Linked DNA regions of Nothobranchius furzeri. The protein of the gene in region 3 binds, or shares a complex with, the protein of the main gene of each other region. Links are inferred from orthologs where the notes say so. Each region holds a gene or a part of one and is shown on either strand. Other genes may lie near its edges.

Region 1 (5,025 bases), on a different chromosome or scaffold from region 3:
GTTCACGTCGGTGTCATGGCTCATGATGCCGTCAGCACGAAATGGAACATTAGAAAGGGATCTTTGACGCTGCCGTAGTCATGAAGACGAGCTTTAATTAAGTCCAACGTATCAGGTTCTGAGCCAAACTCGTCCATCAACACCTGCTGGAAACCCTCGGGTCGTTTCAGCTTACGGAGAAATCAGGTGATGTTCAAAAAGAGCAGAAACGATACATGTACTCAAAAAATAAGGACTTTGGGGATGTTTTCGAAGCTCGTTTCTGTGTAAATTTTATAATCGCTGCTAAACTAAGAAATCCCTGTCGAACTGGACCCCTGGGTGCAGCTGAAGCTGCTGGTGGTCGCAATGGCACAACTCCATCGATCACTCCCCTCGAGCTTATTTGGGTTACATTTTAAACCAAAAGCCTGATGACTCAGCAGCTTTAAAAAACACAAAGGCAATCGCCTAAAAACTAAATGAAACCAGTCATCCTTCTCAAAATTAGATTGTTAGGATGACATAACGCAATAACAATCAACACAAAAATAATAATAATAATAAATAAAACACCGCACAGGATTAAGCTCTAATCAGAGATTACATAAAGCTGGATGAAGATGTGACCTTCTTCTTCAATCTCTTCATCATCTACGAGAGATGATGATGATGATGATGATGATGTCAATCCAGGTGTAGAAAAAATACCAACAGCCATTACGTAAACACCTCGTCTAAAGTTCCAACCACACCTGCCAGAGCGGCGAGGACGAGGCACGCCCTGCCAAATTCCAGCTCTGCCCAAAACGACGTCAGTCAACAAACCGCGCAAGCACAGAGAAACCAAGTCAGCGTTTTCTGAGTAAGAGCAATCCCATTAAAACGAGCAAAGTGTTTCCACACAACAACTTGGAGCGATAACACCCGATGATGAGGAGAAACTGCAACCAGAAATGATGATGTCACACATGATGACTGTGGTTAAAGGTTAAACTGCTTTAGCCGCCCTACAGACGGCTTTTCTTACTGCTTCTGTCTTGAAACGGGTCCCGCAGAGGTACTCTAGGTAGGGCGACCATCGACACATTACATCACTGTCTGACCTTATGTGATGCCACATGATTGTTGCACTCAAATAGGGACAGAAATCTGAATTTTGCATTTTGTTACGTGAGGCAAAAATAAAGAGCTTATTTATGACAACTAATTTTATTTTAACCGAGAAAAAAGATCGCCAAGAGGGGAACAACACATTTTCTCTATGTAATTAACCAATTGATTCACTAATCTTTTAATTTTCCAGATATATTCAGGCCACCAAGAGCTGACTGAACTATAAAACTTCATTATTTAGCCACCTACTGGAAGAAACTGCAGCAGTTTTTGCTGAGAAAGCTGGAAAGGAAGAAAATGACTGAGAAGTGATTACATAGCACATCACTTTCCTTCACACACACATCCCATAACAGAGATGGCTGGCTCTCTGAGTCACAACACACTGCTGTCCTCAGTCTCACAGTCTGATCTCCGTAGCAACAAAGCTTTGATGGTGCTGCTGGTGATGCAACTCACAATCAATCACATCCTCTGCTATTTTTAAAGTGAGGAGGATGTTGTGTGGGTGTTTTGCTGGAAATTTTAGCAAAAGTGCACAGGAGAAAAGATGGAGGGGTGGATGAAGTGGGGGGGGGGGTTCAACTGACCTCATGGTTGTCATTAAACCAAACATATCCTCCATTTCTGTTGTTTTAAGGACTAAATGAAACCGATCACTTTAAGATAAAAAATAAATGAAACCAAAACACCTCATCTCTTTTGGCGGACGGAGACAAAACAAAGCAGTAATTTGAGTCACAGCTGAGGCCAGACCCATGGAGACTGAGGTCTTGGCCCACGGTGCAACGGGGACATTTTTAAAACTACAGGAAGCAAACATTACAGCTGATCTAGAAAAAAAATGTTGATATTTATGATCTGCTCGAGACTAGATGCAGGTAAAAAGATAAATAAAGCCCATCCAAACGTAGCCTTCTGTCGGTATATTCTGGAACCCTGCATGTTTTATCACATGAACAAAAAACAGATCAACATAATAACACAAAAGCATTATTAGAGAATCTGATTAAAGATCATTGCTGATATTTTCCCACTAGCCCATCAGGTCATCATTTAGATCTGGAAATCTGCAAAGGTTTTTTAGGATGGATGGCTTTAAACTGCAGGAATCAGTGTTGGACTTTTGGACTTGGATTTAGCCAATGCAGAAATCTTACATCTAATTTTTCCTTTACTTATCACAAAGAAACTGGCTTAAATAAATAAACACCAGTGAAGTGGCTGAAAGGTCAAACGTCAGTCTTGGAGCTTCTGTGAGCACAAAAACAACCACATAAAGATGCTTGAATTGATTTGTCAGACTAAAATAATAGATCCCAGAGGCCCGTGAGATCAATTTAAACCTATTTTTAGGCTCTAGTTTCTGCCCAAAAATAGTGTACCGTTTAATTTTAATGAGACAAGACTGTCTCAATGAAAGTATAAATAAAAAAACATGTAAACAGATCATGCCAACAGGATAACTTCACATCCTCTGGAAAAAAAAATAAAATTAATTATCGAGTTCATGTTTGTGCGGCACTGATAAAAATATTGTTTTTAAACATATTTTATCCATTAAGGCTGAGTTACTCCCAGGGTTCAGTAACTGACGCGGATGCTGTCTATAGGATGAGGAGGGATGTAAATATGCTGTGTGACTGGAATTAAGCTAGCAACGATCCAAACAGGCGGCTGTAATTAATGTAGCCTAGCCTAAAGTTATGAAAAAACGCACCTCACTATGAAATCTACACTATCGACGCCATTTTAAAAATGTCTGAACGACGATAGCTGTTGCAGACAATGTTAGTTTTTTTTATAACAATTTATTTCCATCTCACCTTTTCACATAGCGCCTTCACTTGTCCTTCGGATAGCTGTTTGCATTCGTTCAGCTGCTCAATCCACTGGTCCAGATCTTTCGTGAACGCCTTTTCGTCCATTGCTGTTTTTTTTTGTGTTTCCTTACCGAAGCGGCGTGTAGTTTGGTTAAAAACCCGCCTCTGCTACCCGTTTTTTGAGACCCTACTCTTTTGAGTTTACAAGCCGGGCAGAGCAGAGGCTAAAGGACCCTCAGCGAGCAGATGCATCCACTTCCAGATCGCTACGATTTGACTGAAGGGAACAACTGAAGAAGAGGGAGAAGCGCCAGCCGGCGATTCACTTGTATCAAGTCGTTTGTTGTTATACAAAGCAGTTCCGGTTAAGACTTTCTAAATAAAAGCACCACGTCGTTACTGTGAATTCAAATTTAAAATAAGCTACATAACAACCAAATGAGTTTTTAAAAAGACTGTTCTGTTTTTCAAATTGCTTCAAAATGTATCTTAAAAGCAGAGAAGATGGCAGGATATGTGTCAGTAAAGCATTTTTAGATAATTGTCAGAAAATTTAAAGTCTTTTCAATTCAAACTGAAATTTGTACACAGTCTTGCATAATAACTCTTAGTTTATCATTGTAAACATCTACTTTAGTTGTAAACAATATGTTAATCCTTAAAGTGGTTAGAAATTTGTGATTTATAAAACATGAAAAAGAGCAAAATAGAAGAATGATTTTTAAAATTAGCTTTAAAATCTCATGTTAACATTACAGTCACAACGCCTTTTCATCACCCGATGCAACAGATCTTTCCAGTGTAAACATGACAATGACATAGCTTGTATTTATTTATTTATGTCTTTTAGCAGGACAGAACAGTGAATCAGAGTTGTGGTTGTCTAATAATATTGTTTTTTATTTTAATTTTAAATTTCTTTATATATAAAGAAAAATATATGTGTATATATTTTTTTCAATTACATTTTTATAGAGCTTGTGAAGTGCCTTGTGATTTTTAGCTATAAAGGCTCTATATAAAACAACCTTTCTTCTTCTTAATTATGCAAAAGTTGCTATATACCAATTATGAATCTGTAATATACCTTTTTTAAAGATTAGCTGAGAAAAAAGATAACCCATTGTTTCTTACTTAGAGTAATTTGGGGACATACAATAGCTTTTATTTCATTTTAATGTTCCCTTTTGTATTAAACCTTTATTCTCCAAATAAAATCTTACATTTCCGGTCTAGGTTTACGTCCAACTTCACGTACAGCAGGGCGAGCCGATGATAGCAGCTCAGTGATTGGTTCACAAAGCAGCTTCCTCTGCAATTTCATTGGCTCCTCATTCATCAAAGAACAAGTTACAACTCGTTTTAGGGAATACGTCACCGCTGCTCACTCGAATTACGATATGAATTCAGTATGTTGTGTATGATGTCCTTTTATTTGGGCTGCGTAAACAATATAAAAATTAAGCTTTACACTGTGTCCACGTGCTTCAGGTAGTGACAAACACACAAAACAGTCCAACAGAAAAACGGCCACATCTGTAAACCGAGTTACATGGATTTGTGTTTACATTCTAAATGTACTTTGTTGTATCTGCTAAATGACATTTAACAAAACTACTCAGATGATGGCACCATTGTGTTTCTGGAATACTCTCGAAATATCTGTTGCATCAGGCGATGCAGTCCACATTAGATGAAAGGGGCGTGGTCATGGTGCTGTAAACATAAGATTAAAACATTCTTCTGATTTACATGCAGTTTCTTTGCACTTGCTTTTGTTTTACAAATTACAGGCATAACTTATACATTTCTAACTATACTTTAAGCATTATGGTCAGATAAAAAAACAAATAAAATGCATTTATTTTTGCCATATCAATCATTATATTTGTGTGATAAATTGTTTTAGAGCATTTTTTTATGTTTTTAAAATTATGCGGTTTTAACATTTTATTTGTTCATTTTCAGTGATTTTTTTTACGTGACACTGACTTAAAAAATCAAATCAAACAATATTTCCTAGAAAAAAAAACATTGAATTTTCTTGACTTCTTACATCCTTCTCTGATATGTCCATGTTTATTTATGTGGTCAGCATGTGGCCAGC
Region 2 (4,855 bases), on a different chromosome or scaffold from region 3:
GAATCTAAAAAGCATGCAACAACATCTAGGGGTAAATACACAATTAAATGCATTTAAATTTGAATTAACGATAGTGTTTAGCTCACAAATTACTTCATTGTCGTTTCCAAGCCCTTTGCTAGCATGCTAGCTGGCTAGTTAGCCAACCTTCCAGGCAGTCAATGACAGCTGCGTGAAACAGTAAAACAGCTTTCTTTGTCCCTTTTCCAGGACACTAAAGTAACAGTATCACACGAACACTTGGAAACATTTACCAAGTTTAATGACACCGTCTGCGAGGCACCGGTCCCACTTTTTACCGAGCTCCTTCTCAGACATCCTGACTTAGCTTCGCTCCAGGTATGTGACTCTGGTGCTGCGTTTAGGTCACCCGGAAAATATTCAAGTTGTGAAAATCAAATTTAGAATAACAAGAAAATTGCGGTGCAGTTCCCATTATTTCACCACGTCATTTATGAAATCTTATCAAATAATCGACAATGATAAAAATACTTTGAAGCCTTGAAATAAATTAACGTTTTTTGGTGCTTTTTCCCACTTAAATGTTATTGGAGCGATGTTTTTCCAAACGTCTCATTGTCACAATCAGAAGAGCTTAAAATCACCACCTAGCGGTGAAACCCTGAATTAAAAAATAAGGTTTTTGTGTTTTATCAACAAAAACTTCACCATAAGGTAATATGACTTAGTTTTCAGAACGAGTTTTATTTTACACAAATAATTACACTTCCATAAACATGTTCACTTAACCAACAGTAATTTCCTGAGATGACATTTACAGTTCATGACAAAATAACAGTGCACAAGTACATAACACTCAAAAAAGTAATGCTTACAAAATGTTACCGTGAGAAAGATGTGCAGTCAACTATTACACATTTACTCTGCAATCCAATCTAAAAATTCAGAGTAAAAACTGGTATTTATCATGTTGTAAGCATAACAATCAACTATGGCAGACAAAATGTACATTTATAAATTTACAATCTCTTTAAAAAACTGCCCACTGTCATTCCAGCGCAGGCATTTTGTTTTGTGAAACAGCCAATAGTCATTTTCTTGGCGATGAACACAACATCACACGTGGTGTACAAGTTAGCGTTTAAAACAGAGGCATTTTACTTTTTGGGCATTTTACTTTTTTATGTTCTTAAAAGATTAAACTCATCCTTTCTCCATTCTAAACAAAAATAAATCTCCCTCAGCTTCACTTCAGCATTTAGATAAATATAAAATAAACCAGTGATACCCAAAGCACCTCAGTCAAACTCCGTTCGTTTATGAGGAATTCACTCCCAACATTGCTGCAGTGAAAACACAACTACTGTACATAAAGATATCTATCATAATGATATACCCACTGGTAGTTAAATGCTTCTGATGGCTTTAATGTTGAATTTAAATTACTTTTACAAACATTATTCTGCAATCTAGGTTGTGCTTAAAAAAGAAAAAGCTCTTCCTGTTTGGTTGGTTGTTCCACCTGATCAGTTCAGACTGCAGCTGCTCGGGTCACTCATTGGTCACTGCCTGAGGGCACTGCTGCTGCTGGTGTTGATGGCTGGTGGCTCTCTTCATTTCCCATCTTCACAGATGCCTGGCTGATGGCCAGAAGGTCCCGAAGCTCCTTGTTCTCAATCTGAAAGAGCCCGGATAACCAAACGTAACCTCGTGTAGATTACTCGTTATCACCAGTCCATGCAAGATGGTTGTATCTATGCGAGTTTGGTTTATTGAATCAACATTTTAACCAGAATGAGTCAAGAAAGTCATCTCAAAGAGTTTCTAAGTTGATCTCAGGTGTGTCCAGATATTTTCATTCATAATCTAATGCTGCACCATACGCTCCAGGAAACTAGCAAACAAGAAAACCTGAGAAACTCCAACAGTTTTTATGCTAGCAGCACTAAGCCTTGTGTGTGTTTGTAGACTCATGCTAATTTCCTGAGCTGTTTCAAAGCCTTAGAGTCACTGATTTTGCCTTTTAAAAGCTTAATGATAACTCCTGACATCACGACTGCCATTCCAGTCCTTACCTCCAGTTGAGCAAGCCTCTCTTGAACAGAGCAGAAGTGCTGATCGTCCACCTGCATGGCTCTCCTCATCACTTGGCCCATCTCACATATCCGTTCCACCTGGCTTTGCACTTCCTGGATAAGATTCAGAAAGCATAACTTCAAACCCCTTTTTCTGTCAGAAAATTACATGACTGGGAATGTTCACAGCACAATGAAAGTTGGTGTACTTTGACGTAGTCTTGGTGTAGTCTGAGCACTGGTTTCGTGTCCAGCTCCTTTTTTGCCATCATCAGCTGGAGCATCTGCTTGCGATATCGACCCATGATCAGTTCTAGTGTGTACTGGTGCTCTTCAAGGGACAGCCATAGTTCTGCGGAAACAGTGGCGAAGACAAAAATTACAGACAAACACATGAACTCTAAAAATACCTAAAAACATTGTAAGGATTTTACCTTTATTCTCTTGCTGCAATTCCTTGATTTGAGTGTTTTCTTGAGTCAGAAGGATGTGAGGCTTGTATTTTGTGAGTTCCCGAATCTCTGAGCTGTCTTCTGTGTGCTAAAAGGCAGCAACAAGGAAAATGTCATAAGTAAAAAATACATTTTAAGCACTAGTTGGATGACTGTTCCACCTCTTGATAAATAATTCCCATTATTTAAATATGCTTTTAAAGGCTGGTGTACTTTTTTGGACGATCAGACCTTCTATCTCAAAATGTCTAAGTACTTGAGTAGAGTTAGAGAAGAGTGTCATTTTAAGCTTACCTGCAACCCCAAATCCTTAATGCATGGCTTAAGTCAGCCTTCTAATATAAATATACTTTCACCCAACGTTTATGTGTGAGAGACCATCTTACCTTGTCTGGAAGAGCATTGCCCACCTCCCTCATGCCCTGCACTCTCTGGCTGAGGGCCCCGGATTGCTCGATCAGTCCCTCAGCAGCCGTATCGTGCTCTTTCAGCCTTTCCAGGAGGGTCCTAGCATCCCCCAACACTTTTTCAAAAGTACAGGCCATTAGCTATTAAGTGACTAGTCGTATTTGTAAACTAAAGCTTCCAAATACCAGTTTGATCAGGCGAAAATTTGCCCGTACTGTAGCTTACGCTGGCTATGCTGTTCAAACGCACAAAAATGTTTTACAAACAAATATTCATATCTCAGCGGACCCTCCTAGATCATTTCTCAAGAGACAGATGACTAATTAAACCAGGACAATGTATAACAAAAGAAATCCCTCTTTTTGTTGGCAACTTCGTATTCGAGAGGAAAAAATATAGCGTCACTTCCGGGATTGTACCGTAAACAAGTATCTTGCCGTCAAACGTATCATCGTAGACGTAAAAATGTTTACGAATCCTTTGGTTTTCTCATTCTCGGCAAGGAAACCGTGTGCATAGACATTTTCTGAATAATTTCATTATCCAACTATCTTCATGAGTGTCTGGTGCGCAGACCTGTGGGAAAAGCCGTTTTAACATTTAATAGCATACTTTACTGCATATTAAGCATTTAATGCCTTTTAAACCTCGGTTGAGCCCAGGTTGAGCCCGATTATTTACTTCAAAACAACTGAACATCATTTCCCATGAACCCATGCGTGACAACAGAGCCAGCTGCAGAGGCTTCCCTAGCCTTCGTCAAATATCGCGGGAGCTGTCTCCCTAATCACTACGTAATGTGCCGTGCTGCTTCTAGCGGCGCTGGTGACAGTGCTAAAAGCTGTTGGGGTGAGTTTTATATTATTTTTCTCTGCTTGGTAAACCGTTGAGATATATTTAAATGTCTTATTTCGCATTTAATTTTTTTATAATTCAGGCGGGGTCACCAAAGCGAACGGGCGGTGTACAGCAGAAGTCGGGCCTGGGTGGGGATGCCTTGTTTTTTCTCGGGCCACAGCAGCGTGCTCTGGCTAACGAGCTAACGTTCCAAACGACCGAGCGACGGTTAAATAGCAAGCTGGCGTTTCTTTGACGTGTCTAAAGTACCGAAGACATGCTACTTTGGCCATTCTAACACTTAAGACGTTTCTAGTTGGTGCACAACTTTTGTAGACGCGAGCTTTGTAGGTAGTTTCTTTGTTTTCCATCATCCTCGTGCCGTTAGCCGCGGTGTTTTCTTCGTTTACCCTCGATCTGTTAGGAAATCAAACACGTTTTAGCGCATGTGTGTTGTATCGGACTTGATTAGCCGTCTGACAAATTTCGGATTTAAAATTGGTTTTGATCTAATTCCCATTTTGGTTTTTGCATTTGTTTCAGCTGGATGATGTCGCAAATGTGCCAACCTACTTCTTAACGATACACCTTAAACTGGACCTTTACGTTTATTCTTAAGTTTTCCAAATAATTACAAAAAACAATTTATACGACGTACTTCTCTTGAAAGAAAGCATCTTTGTTTATATTTTTTCGAAAGTATCAATATACCATTTATTAAAATCAAATGAAGAATACGTGGCATTGTAGCCTGAGCAACGTTTCTTTAGAAGTCTGAGGCGTTTATAATTTTATTTTAGTCAGGTTTTATTCACCATTATGCTTGTTTTTTACTCATGGATGTGTATTTTAATTTCTGGGTTTGTGACGAGTTTTTAATTAAAATTGAAACGCTTTTTATCGTGGTGTTCAGCACAATTGCTCGGGTCACTTTGACTCTTCCAGCTGAGAATAGCGGATTGTCAGGAAGTCACATGCTTGGCCCTGGCAAAGCAATGCTCTTTCTTGCTCAGACATCATCAGGGTCACTGGTACTTAACTGGCATGTTTTGCCTGTTTTATGCTGTTTCATAAAACAGTGGTACACTGATTATAAACTGCTTGTATCATGACTGGAAGTAT
Region 3 (4,377 bases):
ATGCCACCACTGAAACACTGTTCGCCACTGGAGGTCATCGCCAACGACAGCACCGGACCACTAAAAAGACACGTCACAAAACTATAACAAGCCTTCAGATTTATCTCTAACTTGGGCTAATTATATCTTTACTTTATACTCTTTATTTTGATAATAGTAGCTACAGAGTTGGTTACAAACAGGACTTAAATTATGGGGGAGCTAGGGGTGCCCGGCCCCCTCGGGGGGGGGGAATCTGAAAAATGATCTCTAAAACAACTAAATGTGGTTAATAAAACATGTCTACAGTTGGAATCTGATGTGTTAAAAGGAGACGTGACATGTTAATGTTCCACATTGGTTCTGATACATACATGTGACCCCTGAAGGTGTAGACCGGTTCCACGTCGAACGAGGCACTTCTGGAACACAGAATGTCATCACACCTGTTATTGGTGTTCTAAATAAACATCAATCCTGAAAGCTTCCGAGCATTTTACAAACTCCTTATCTGATCATAACACACAACCTGCTAACTGTATATATGTCTGGAAGCCACGCCCCTGGAATATCTAACGAATCAGCAGTCTGAATGTTCTCACCTGGTTCCTAGTGTCTCATTGTGTTTTTCATTTGTAGTTTTTTTCTGAGTAAAAGAAAGCTGAAGTGTCCCTGGTGAGCTCAGAGGACCTGTGTCTGACGACGTCGTGTAGGTGAGAGAAGATCACAGGAACGACTAAAAGCCACCAACACCCTGAGCTGATGCAGCTCCTGTACCCAGTGAGGGCCCAGAAATCAGAACACATACTTTTTGGCTGGGACGGTCTTGGTGAGGTTCCACAGTTTGAGCGTGTGGTCTTCAGACACTGTGACCAGGCAGGGCTCCACAGGGTGGAACGCCAACCCTCGGACCCCATCAAAGTGGCTCCGTAACGTGTACTTGGGGTTCCAGGTCTTCCTGAAGGAAGACTCTTTACTGGAGGAGAGCTGAGGACAAAACCAGAGTGAGCTCATTTATCAGGAATTCAGACAGAGTTCCACTGAGTTTCATTTCCTCACATCGTAGCCAAAGTCCACCTCATCGTTGGCGACGGTGAGGTCAGCAAGGTCCCCCAAACCCAGCACGCTTTCCAGAACATCATCAGACCCCCCCAGTAAGAAGGACTTTCCCCCAGCAGTGGAAAAGGGTAGAGGCTCTGCTGCAGAGAGACTCAGATAAATTCACTTGTGTCCAAAACGTCCAGACACCAACATTCAGACATGCGTCATGTTTTATTTCTGCATTTGATCATTGGCTGGCTAACGTGTGATGACTATCTCACCCCACTCTGTCCCATCACCAGAGCTGCGGGCTTCCCCCGCCCCCTCTCCATCCTCTGCCGTCACCAAGAAATCAAACTCCTTCAAAGCTTCCTCCGTGTCTGCGTCATCCTCTGTTGCTAAGCCCTCGTTTCCTACCTGGTCGACCATGAGAGCAGAAAAAAAAGTTCCAGGAGAATGGAGTACAGGAGGGAAATGGTGCTAAGTCACAGTTTCTCTTCACATACATTTATTTTATGTTTTTTAGCTCGATGGTGTTTGTCCGTAGTGATGTCGTCCATTAGGTCTCCCTCCTCATCATCATCTTCATCACTGTCCTCTGTGTTCTCCAAGAAGTTGAACGTCTCCAAGTTGTCAGTTGGAATTCTGCACACAAACACACATGTGGTTCACACACACGTCCACTCTGGAGACCATGGACAGCTCCTTCAGAGATAGACTGAGACATCCCAGATGTAAAACAGAACGCTTCTGTGGGTCATTCATCCCCTCTGCAGTAAGAGTGTAGAACTCCTCAGTTTAAGCTGTACTGGTATTATCCTGGTACACAAAAGCATCAATGCAATACTCAGTATGTGTTCAATACTTGTGCAAAACCAGATGAACTTAGTATGTCTGCATCCCTTACAGTATGCTGCATGGTTCTGGAACCAAGTTTTTCATTTTTATTTGTGGTTTTTAGTGGTTGAAGGTTACAATACTAGCTTACTGCCTATGTGTGTATACATGTACCTTTGTTATTATTTTTCTTCATAGTATTCTCTTAAGTGTTTATACTGCAGTAACAAGAGAATTTCCCCTCTGTGGGATCAATAGTCTATCCTATTCTATTCAATGTGTTTGCACCATTCCACAACCTGAAAGCCCAAAAACCACTGGTTGAACTTTACCAAAACCCTGAATATTATGGGAACTTCAGATTTCTAAACAAATATGCTTTTAGGAATAATGATTTGATGTTTTAGATTTCTGGAGATCTTCTCCGGTCCCCACCCGTTATTCGTGACCCTCTATGGAGGCCCAACCCATGTCTCAGAAGAAAACTACATCATTACTCCATCTAGATTGGCAACAGGTCCATCTTCATTTCTTCAGACCTTCTGGAAGTCTTTCAAAGGCCACATAGCTCAAGGGATGATGCAGATTTGTATATAAAATTGTGTCTTTTGGTTCCTAAGTAGCAACACAGTCTGTTCCTGTGTCTTTAGTTTAATCTGTAAAAACAGCAGCAAGACAATGGCCTCTGTTTTATTTTCATTAAACTCAGAAAACTGTAAGCCAGCCAAATATTTACCTCCTCCAGACATGCCAGGATAATCTTAAAAGCACCATTTTATCCCAGTTTCATGGGGCAATAGCTTTAACAACAGTCAGCATGTAGATGAAAACTCAGCTTATACTTCTGAAATGTCAAGCAGGTAAAGGGTAAATAAAAGGGGTCTGAGGATGGAACCTTGCGGCACTCCTCAGATGAGGTAAGATGGAGCTTTACCAATCTTCATACAACATCCTAGTTAGATAAGACCCCTGCCACTCCAGAGCAATCCCTGAGATCCCTACCCATTGTTTAAGCCTGGTTAGCAAGATGACAAGATCAGCTTTGTCCAATAAAGGACGTAACATTCAGTACAACCACTCTATAGAGAACCTGACTACCTGACAACTCAAATTACTTAAGTACTTAGTTGCGCATTATTTTTAAGTAGCAATTAATTAATAATTACTATGAAATTCATAGTAAATATTGATTATTCCCCCACATCTATTCATACTATGAATAGATGTGGGGGAATATTACCATCAATAAAACCAGCTGTGGAGCGATTATGTTGCCACAGCCCCATCTAGTGGACAACTTTTGTATTTGCGCATACGGGTAATTATCGTCCATTCATCGTTTTTAATGTGAACTGCTCATCATGCTGTGATACTGATTTGAAGCCACATCTCCCAGCCCTAGATTCAACCCATCAACAGTGGGGGCAGACAGGCACATTCAAGCTTTTCAAAAGTGTGGGGGATGTTGTCTGTGCCCAAAATAATTTCATGTTATTCATCTTGTTAGCTTAATTTCCATAACAGCGGAGCAGGTGCGAATTTTAGACGTGTCACGCATGTCTCCGTTTTAAACATGTTTAAACTGTTCAGAATACAAATAAAGGCTCTGTCTCGTTAGATTGGTATAACTAAAGGTTGTACTGAATGAAACTTTACATTAAACCATGTTGAAGAGAAAAGGATCCAATTAAATCGTTTCCCCCTCATTTTACAGTCAGTACAGTGCAGTGTGCATGGCTCTGGGGTTAATCAAGTTTAGTTGTTTCTCTTTGCAACAATCTTCACAAGAAGGCAAAACAGTAAAATGGCAGGTTACAGATATTTCCATTTGACTGTTTATTTTGACAGATAAACTCAAGGATGTTGGTTGTTTTGAAAGAATTACCCCGACGCACACTGATGCACACACAGATGAGCTGACATTTTAATCGTTACGCACATCGCGGAGGTAACTAAATCAATCAAGAAATGATTCCCATCAGAACATCAGAGCTTTATACTGGACACTGTGCTCAGCGCGGCTCGGAGCGCCCACGGTGGACAGTGAGCTGAAGATCTGTAGAGGGGTTTGCAGCGCAGTGCAGAACCACGGCGCATGCGGTAAGATTTCCTCCCACTGAAGCGGTCTGGAAACCCGGTCTCTCTGAGGGATGTGTCACTTGGAAAAATGTTCTTTTTATGAAATTATGAAACTTAGGCTGAACAGCGCTTGTTCCCGTGTCTAATATGGAGACGCATGACGCGTAGAGACATTTGATCACGCACAAAGTTTATGTGGAGCAGAAGCGGTCGGGCCACGGCAGGTGAAATGTTCCTAGCCTACATGAAGTGAAACTGTTTAATTGTAACATTAATATGTTACTGGACATGCTGGTCTGGTTGATTAGACCAGTGTTTGATGTGGAAAACACACACACACACACGCACGCACGCACGCACGCACGCACACACACACACACACACACACACACACACACACACACACACACACAAATTAAAATAATGCTGATAGCGTGGACT
Region 4 (5,065 bases), on a different chromosome or scaffold from region 3:
GCAAGATAAAAAAAAGCTATTTTATAAAAAAAAATACCAGGAAATACCAGAAAATCTACTTTAAAACAGTCAAACAAGACGACACGCTATATTTGCCACTTAATCAATCTAGATGCGCAGATGACACGCTCTACTATGCATGACTGGGCGTCTTGGCAGGTACAGCAGACGTCTGTGTCAGCTGCTGCAGCTGCCGCCGGGCGTCAGGTGAGTGTTGACTCAACCAGCCTGTGACAACACACCTGACCCTCCCACCTGGGACCAACAGAGCAAGCAGGTCCCACAGGTAGACACACCTGAAAGCCGGCCAAACAGGAGGCCAAATGGCAGCTTTTACAATGCGTTACTCTCGTTACACGCCTTCTTACTGGCAGGAAACGACATTTACCTTTAACAATCACCACCATAGATTCTAGAGCAAGTAAAACAGTAAAATCCATGAAAGGTAAATACAAACACAAAGCTGCTAAGCAACGTGGGAACAAAGCGAGCTGCTGAACTAAAACACACCTAGCATCTTATTGCAAAACCGTATCTAGCAGAAAAAGGGGTTGAGCTATAAATACACTCAAGTGACTTTGGAAGCAGTACAAATATATTAAAAGCAGCATTAGGTCATTTTAATCAGAGGGTAAGAGATATCACAGGCTTGTGGCCTAAAGAACACACTCACGCAGGAATTTCAAACTTAAACCACAAAACGAGTTCACACAGGAAAATTATCAGTGAAACTAAAACAACAGACTCATAATAATAAAATGTAAAGGAAAAAATCTAAATGAATCAAAAATAATTCAAGATGGATCTGGATTAATTAAAATGATAAAACATTAAAACGGAGCTAAAAGTAGCATGAGTAGAGTCTGAGGCCATGTACGTAGCTAGGTATCCCTGGCCTGTCGCCGGCATGAAAGTGAAGATCAACGCCACCAAAAACGATCCTTTCAGAAACCCCGGCCAAAGTGAAGATCTACAAATTCTTCGTTGTCAGCACTTTAGGTTTCACGTCAACACATGCGACAAAAACGCCCCAACATCACATGTTTACAGAAACATTTATTGATTGTCCAAACACCTTTCGCATTTAAGAGCACCTCAATATCGGTCCACACGAAGGTGCCTGAAGCTGCTATTGGAGCCTTAGAGGTCCGAGCAGGAAAACCAGAGTGCATGACTATTTTTTTTCCCTCCGGAAAATTTCCCCATTTGGAAGCTGACCCTTATAGAAGAACATCACTGAAAGCTGCATGTGGTGTTAGAACTGTCTATTTGAGTTGTGTCCGACACTGCCGGTGTGTTTTGCTCTCATTCTACCATGGTTTGTCTCATTTACAAAGATAAAAATGAATAAAATTATAGATTCAAACAGATGGGAGTGAGTGCATCAGTGCGACTAGATAGATCTATAATTTCTGTAGTATCTCGGGCACTCTTCAAGATCATAAAAACTTCAAAAGTAGATATTGGAAAAAAAAATCGTGATTTGAGGCACTCCCAAAAATAATTTATTATAATATAAACCGACACATTTCGGTCACGTGCGACCTTCTTCAGGGCAGTTGCACGCTTCGATGCAAAGCAAATGACCACTAAATACTTTTGATGATAATGAAATATTGATTATTGGTCAATTAGGTCATTTTTGTGATTGAAATTGGCAAAGAATAGGATTTTTGCACAGCTTTGTTGTAACTATAATACCCATAATATTTGCACACTGAATTGCCTCTGTGTTAGAAATGTGCTCAATAAATAAAGCTGCATTTCCTTGCCTAATACTCAAAATAGGTTTTAATTCACATAAATAAGCAAATGTCACACTAACGTACGTAGAACACTTGATAAGGTTACAAAGTTATTGAGAATTGATAAATCCTTTTAGGGTGACACAGAAGAAGAAGAAACGGTCTTTTATATAGCGCCTCTCAAGATAAAAATCTCTCCACAAGAACAAAAAATTAAAACAAAATTAAGAAATTGAAAACATTTTCAAATATTAAAACATCCGAAATATTAAATTGTAAAAAAAGTGAGGAAAGGGAACATAAAATGAATGAGAAAAAGGCCATCTGAACTGAAACCTGCTGAGAAGCCACTGTAAATTTATCTGCAGCAGTTATAACACAGTAACAACTATCTGTTAACAATCTCACACACACACACACACACACACACACACACACACACACACACACACACACACACACACACACACACACACACACACACACGATAGATAGCTGATAGATAGATAGATAGATAGATAGATAGATAGCTGATAGATAGATAGATAGATAGATAGATAGATAGATAGATAGATAGATAGATAGATAGATAGATAGATAGATAGATAGATAGATAGATAGATAAGCAGGCTAAGTTCTGAGTAATAAAAAGTTACAAAAGCCATACCTTAAAACCCTAATTCCCTTTAAGCATCGAGCTGGGGTTTATAAACCAGACACTAACCATAATAAACACAAGTCTGTTTCAGACATGTCAACACACCAAAACCATCGCTAACTCTGTTTTTGTGCACTTCGATGATCACAAACAGCCAAAGAAGCTCAGTACATAGAAACAGTCCACAGGTGGGTGTATTAGAGACGAGGAGTTGTAGTAAACAAATATATAAAAGGCTCGCACAGCCATGAGAAGTCCTGGCAGAGCCCTCTCTTTCCTGGGTGTGGAGACGAGACGGGCTGTCTGACTTCTGAAGGCTTTTTGTCTTCAGGTAAGACCAGAAACACAGAAACGGCCTCTAGTTTCCCAATCCCTCCTTCCTTGTTGCCTCACTGCTTTACTTTGTCCGAGCCCGGCCCGAAAAGGACCCCAAACCCCTGACAAACCAGTGAACGGATCCACCTTTGCACTCACCTGCATACCAGGAACTTCCATGGTTACTTCGACCTTTTTCCTCCTCCAGGTTCCTCCGTTTTCCTCCTTTTCGACTCCGGCTTTTCTTCTTCTTCTGTTTCGAGGTCAAACTTGACTTTAGAGGAATAGAGCGAGTGGACTTCGAAGCGAGCGGGTACTTCCGACTCCGTTTGTTTGCAAGAGAATGAAATGGACGGACGACAAAACTGTGTGACAAAGTCCGCATGAAAAAAAGTGTGGAGCAAACAAACGAGGATGACGAGCTGGTAGCCGCCTACTTCTAGGAGGAGCGAGCGGTGGAGCTGCACCCCCACAGGAGTACTACTGCTGCCCCCTGGTGGCTGTCTGTCTATCTATCTATCTATCTATCTATCTATCTATCTATCTATCTATCTATCTATCTATCTATCTATCTATCTATCTATCTATCTATCGTCTGTCTGACTGAACATAAATAATAACATTATCCCTTTGCATAACTTTTATGAAATTTCTAACCATTCGTGATGCATTCAAATGCATCTTGCACTTTTCACTCCTTTCCTACTCTTGCCCCTTTCCAGGCTGCATTTTCTTTTAGCCCTCTTCATTTCTTCGTCATTGATATTATTATTATTATTATTATTATTATTATTATTATTATTATTATTATTATTATTACAGTTTTTCTCAGTTGCTTTGGTGCATTTCTCACAACAGAATTAAACTTTGCACAACAGTTGGTTCAACCTCCACAACATGTAGTCATTTTGGCACAACCTAGTGGCAGTTTCATGTTCATTTCAGTCAAAGGCAAATGCCTTTGGACATGAAGCAGTTGAGTAAGTACAAATGTCTAAAGAATTCACTTTTGACTTGCTATTCATCACTATCTCCTTGCTTTTATCATGAATGTCACAATTCTTTATACTTGTACCGGCTGAATAGTCATTGCCCTTACAACTAATAGTCTTCATTTCATTGCTCGTGTCATTGCACTCAAAATTGTTGAACATCTTGTCAAACAATTTGTACACCCATTTTGAAAACCCTATTTTAAGGAGTTTCCATGGAAATCTCCATTAATTACTTTTCTCAGGTGAACCTTTTCTCACACTAATGAAAATTGGTGTGTGTCCTGGTGACAATCGGACAATGTATGTAATGGTTTGGGATAATGTTAGCTTCCATCACTCTGCTGTAGTCAGCCAGTGGTTTGCAGCACACGACAGGATGCTTAGGGAGTTTCTTCCTCCTTACACTCCATTCCTAAATCCAACTGAGGAGTTTTTCCTCTTCGCTGAGGTGGAAGGTATATGGCAGGCATCCACATACCCAAATGGCCCTGCTAGCAGCTATGGATGCAGCTTGTGGTGACATCACAGCAGAGTCCTGCAGAGGATGGATTCGCCACACCAGGAGATACTTTCCTCGCTGCATTGCGAGGGATGACATCCGCTGTGATGTAGATGAAAATTTGTGGCCAGACAGACAGGAACGTCTGGAAATGCCAGAATGATTTACTGTATCTGTATGTTACAGTACTGTGCAATACTGTATGTACTGTTACATGTACTGTATATTGTTCACATTTGTGCACAGCTCTACCAAAGGGTGATTTTTTGTTTACATGTATTCTACAGTAAACAAGTGACTGTAGCATATTTTCTTTTGCACAATGCTGCAGAATTACAAACACTTCTGTACAGTAAAAATGTAAAACGTACGTATTCAGTGTCTGAGTTACTCCCAAAACTCCCATAACATCTACAGTAACTTTACTGCACATTTCAAATGGCTGTACAAGTAGGGCATAGTGCTGTCTTGAGCATTTTCAGGTGTCACCAAATACTCTTGCAATGGAAAACACTGAAATTATAAACTGTCATGGTGAAAACATGACAAAGCCATTTGACTATCTTGTTCATAAAGATGGTGTCAAGACTTTTCATTTTGATGGCACTGACAGTTTCATTGACATGAATACTTGCTTTTGAGGAATGGATTATCAATTTTGAGCATGTGACGTCCTTTTGCAGGCTATCCACTAGGTTTTGCAGTTTGCACGAATTGTTTTGAGAAATGCACTAACTGCTGTGCAAATGTTAATAGTGTTCTGAGAAACGCACCAAAGCGACTGAGAAAAACTGTAATATCTACACGCTCCCATCTGTCTGCCAACATATTTTCGTCATCATCACAGGGAATG

The links. Proteins that work in one complex are often made in the same cells at the same time.
Region 1: strn3 (region 3) and ppp2cab share a complex: the UniProt entries of both Homo sapiens proteins name them as parts of the core of STRIPAK complex. The link is inferred for Nothobranchius furzeri from reciprocal best matches to the Homo sapiens genes STRN3 and PPP2CA.
Region 2: the proteins of strn3 (region 3) and sike1 are in contact, whole or in part, in a crystal structure (PDB 6AKL), measured with the Homo sapiens proteins. The link is inferred for Nothobranchius furzeri from reciprocal best matches to the Homo sapiens genes STRN3 and SIKE1. Residues at the interface, in NP_001077362.1 of Homo sapiens: Arg176, Leu179, Tyr182, Leu183, Val186, Tyr188; in NP_079349.2 of Homo sapiens: Glu96, His97, Ala100, Leu103, Ile104, Ser106, Lys107.
Region 4: strn3 (region 3) and stk26 share a complex: the UniProt entries of both Homo sapiens proteins name them as parts of the core of STRIPAK complex. The link is inferred for Nothobranchius furzeri from reciprocal best matches to the Homo sapiens genes STRN3 and STK26.

The regions. Positions count from the first base shown.
Region 1 is NC_091750.1:60,016,495-60,021,519, forward strand, and holds the start of ppp2cab (serine/threonine-protein phosphatase 2A catalytic subunit alpha isoform), read right to left. Parts: upstream 3,179-5,025; 5' UTR 3,024-3,178; coding exon 2,922-3,023; intron 1-2,921. UniProt on the Homo sapiens protein: Catalytic subunit of protein phosphatase 2A (PP2A), a serine/threonine phosphatase involved in the regulation of a wide variety of enzymes, signal transduction pathways, and cellular events.
Region 2 is NC_091755.1:53,138,065-53,142,919, reverse strand, and holds sike1 (suppressor of IKBKE 1), read right to left. Parts: upstream 3,179-4,855; 5' UTR 3,034-3,178; coding exon 2,875-3,033; intron 2,577-2,874; coding exon 2,471-2,576; intron 2,389-2,470; coding exon 2,246-2,388; intron 2,151-2,245; coding exon 2,037-2,150; intron 1,640-2,036; coding exon 1,517-1,639; 3' UTR 686-1,516; downstream 1-685. Other genes in the region: micos10 (MICOS complex subunit MIC10), read right to left, coding at 255-318.
Region 3 is NC_091758.1:17,988,138-17,992,514, reverse strand, and holds part of strn3 (striatin-3), read right to left. Parts: intron 1,666-4,377; coding exon 1,527-1,665; intron 1,438-1,526; coding exon 1,302-1,437; intron 1,179-1,301; coding exon 1,039-1,178; intron 967-1,038; coding exon 788-966; intron 402-787; coding exon 354-401; intron 61-353; coding exon 1-60. UniProt on the Homo sapiens protein: Calmodulin-binding scaffolding protein which is the center of the striatin-interacting phosphatase and kinase (STRIPAK) complexes.
Region 4 is NC_091742.1:86,805,145-86,810,209, reverse strand, and holds the start of stk26 (serine/threonine-protein kinase 26), read right to left. Parts: upstream 3,179-5,065; 5' UTR 2,899-3,178; coding exon 2,878-2,898; intron 1-2,877. UniProt on the Homo sapiens protein: Serine/threonine-protein kinase that acts as a mediator of cell growth. Modulates apoptosis. In association with STK24 negatively regulates Golgi reorientation in polarized cell migration upon RHO activation.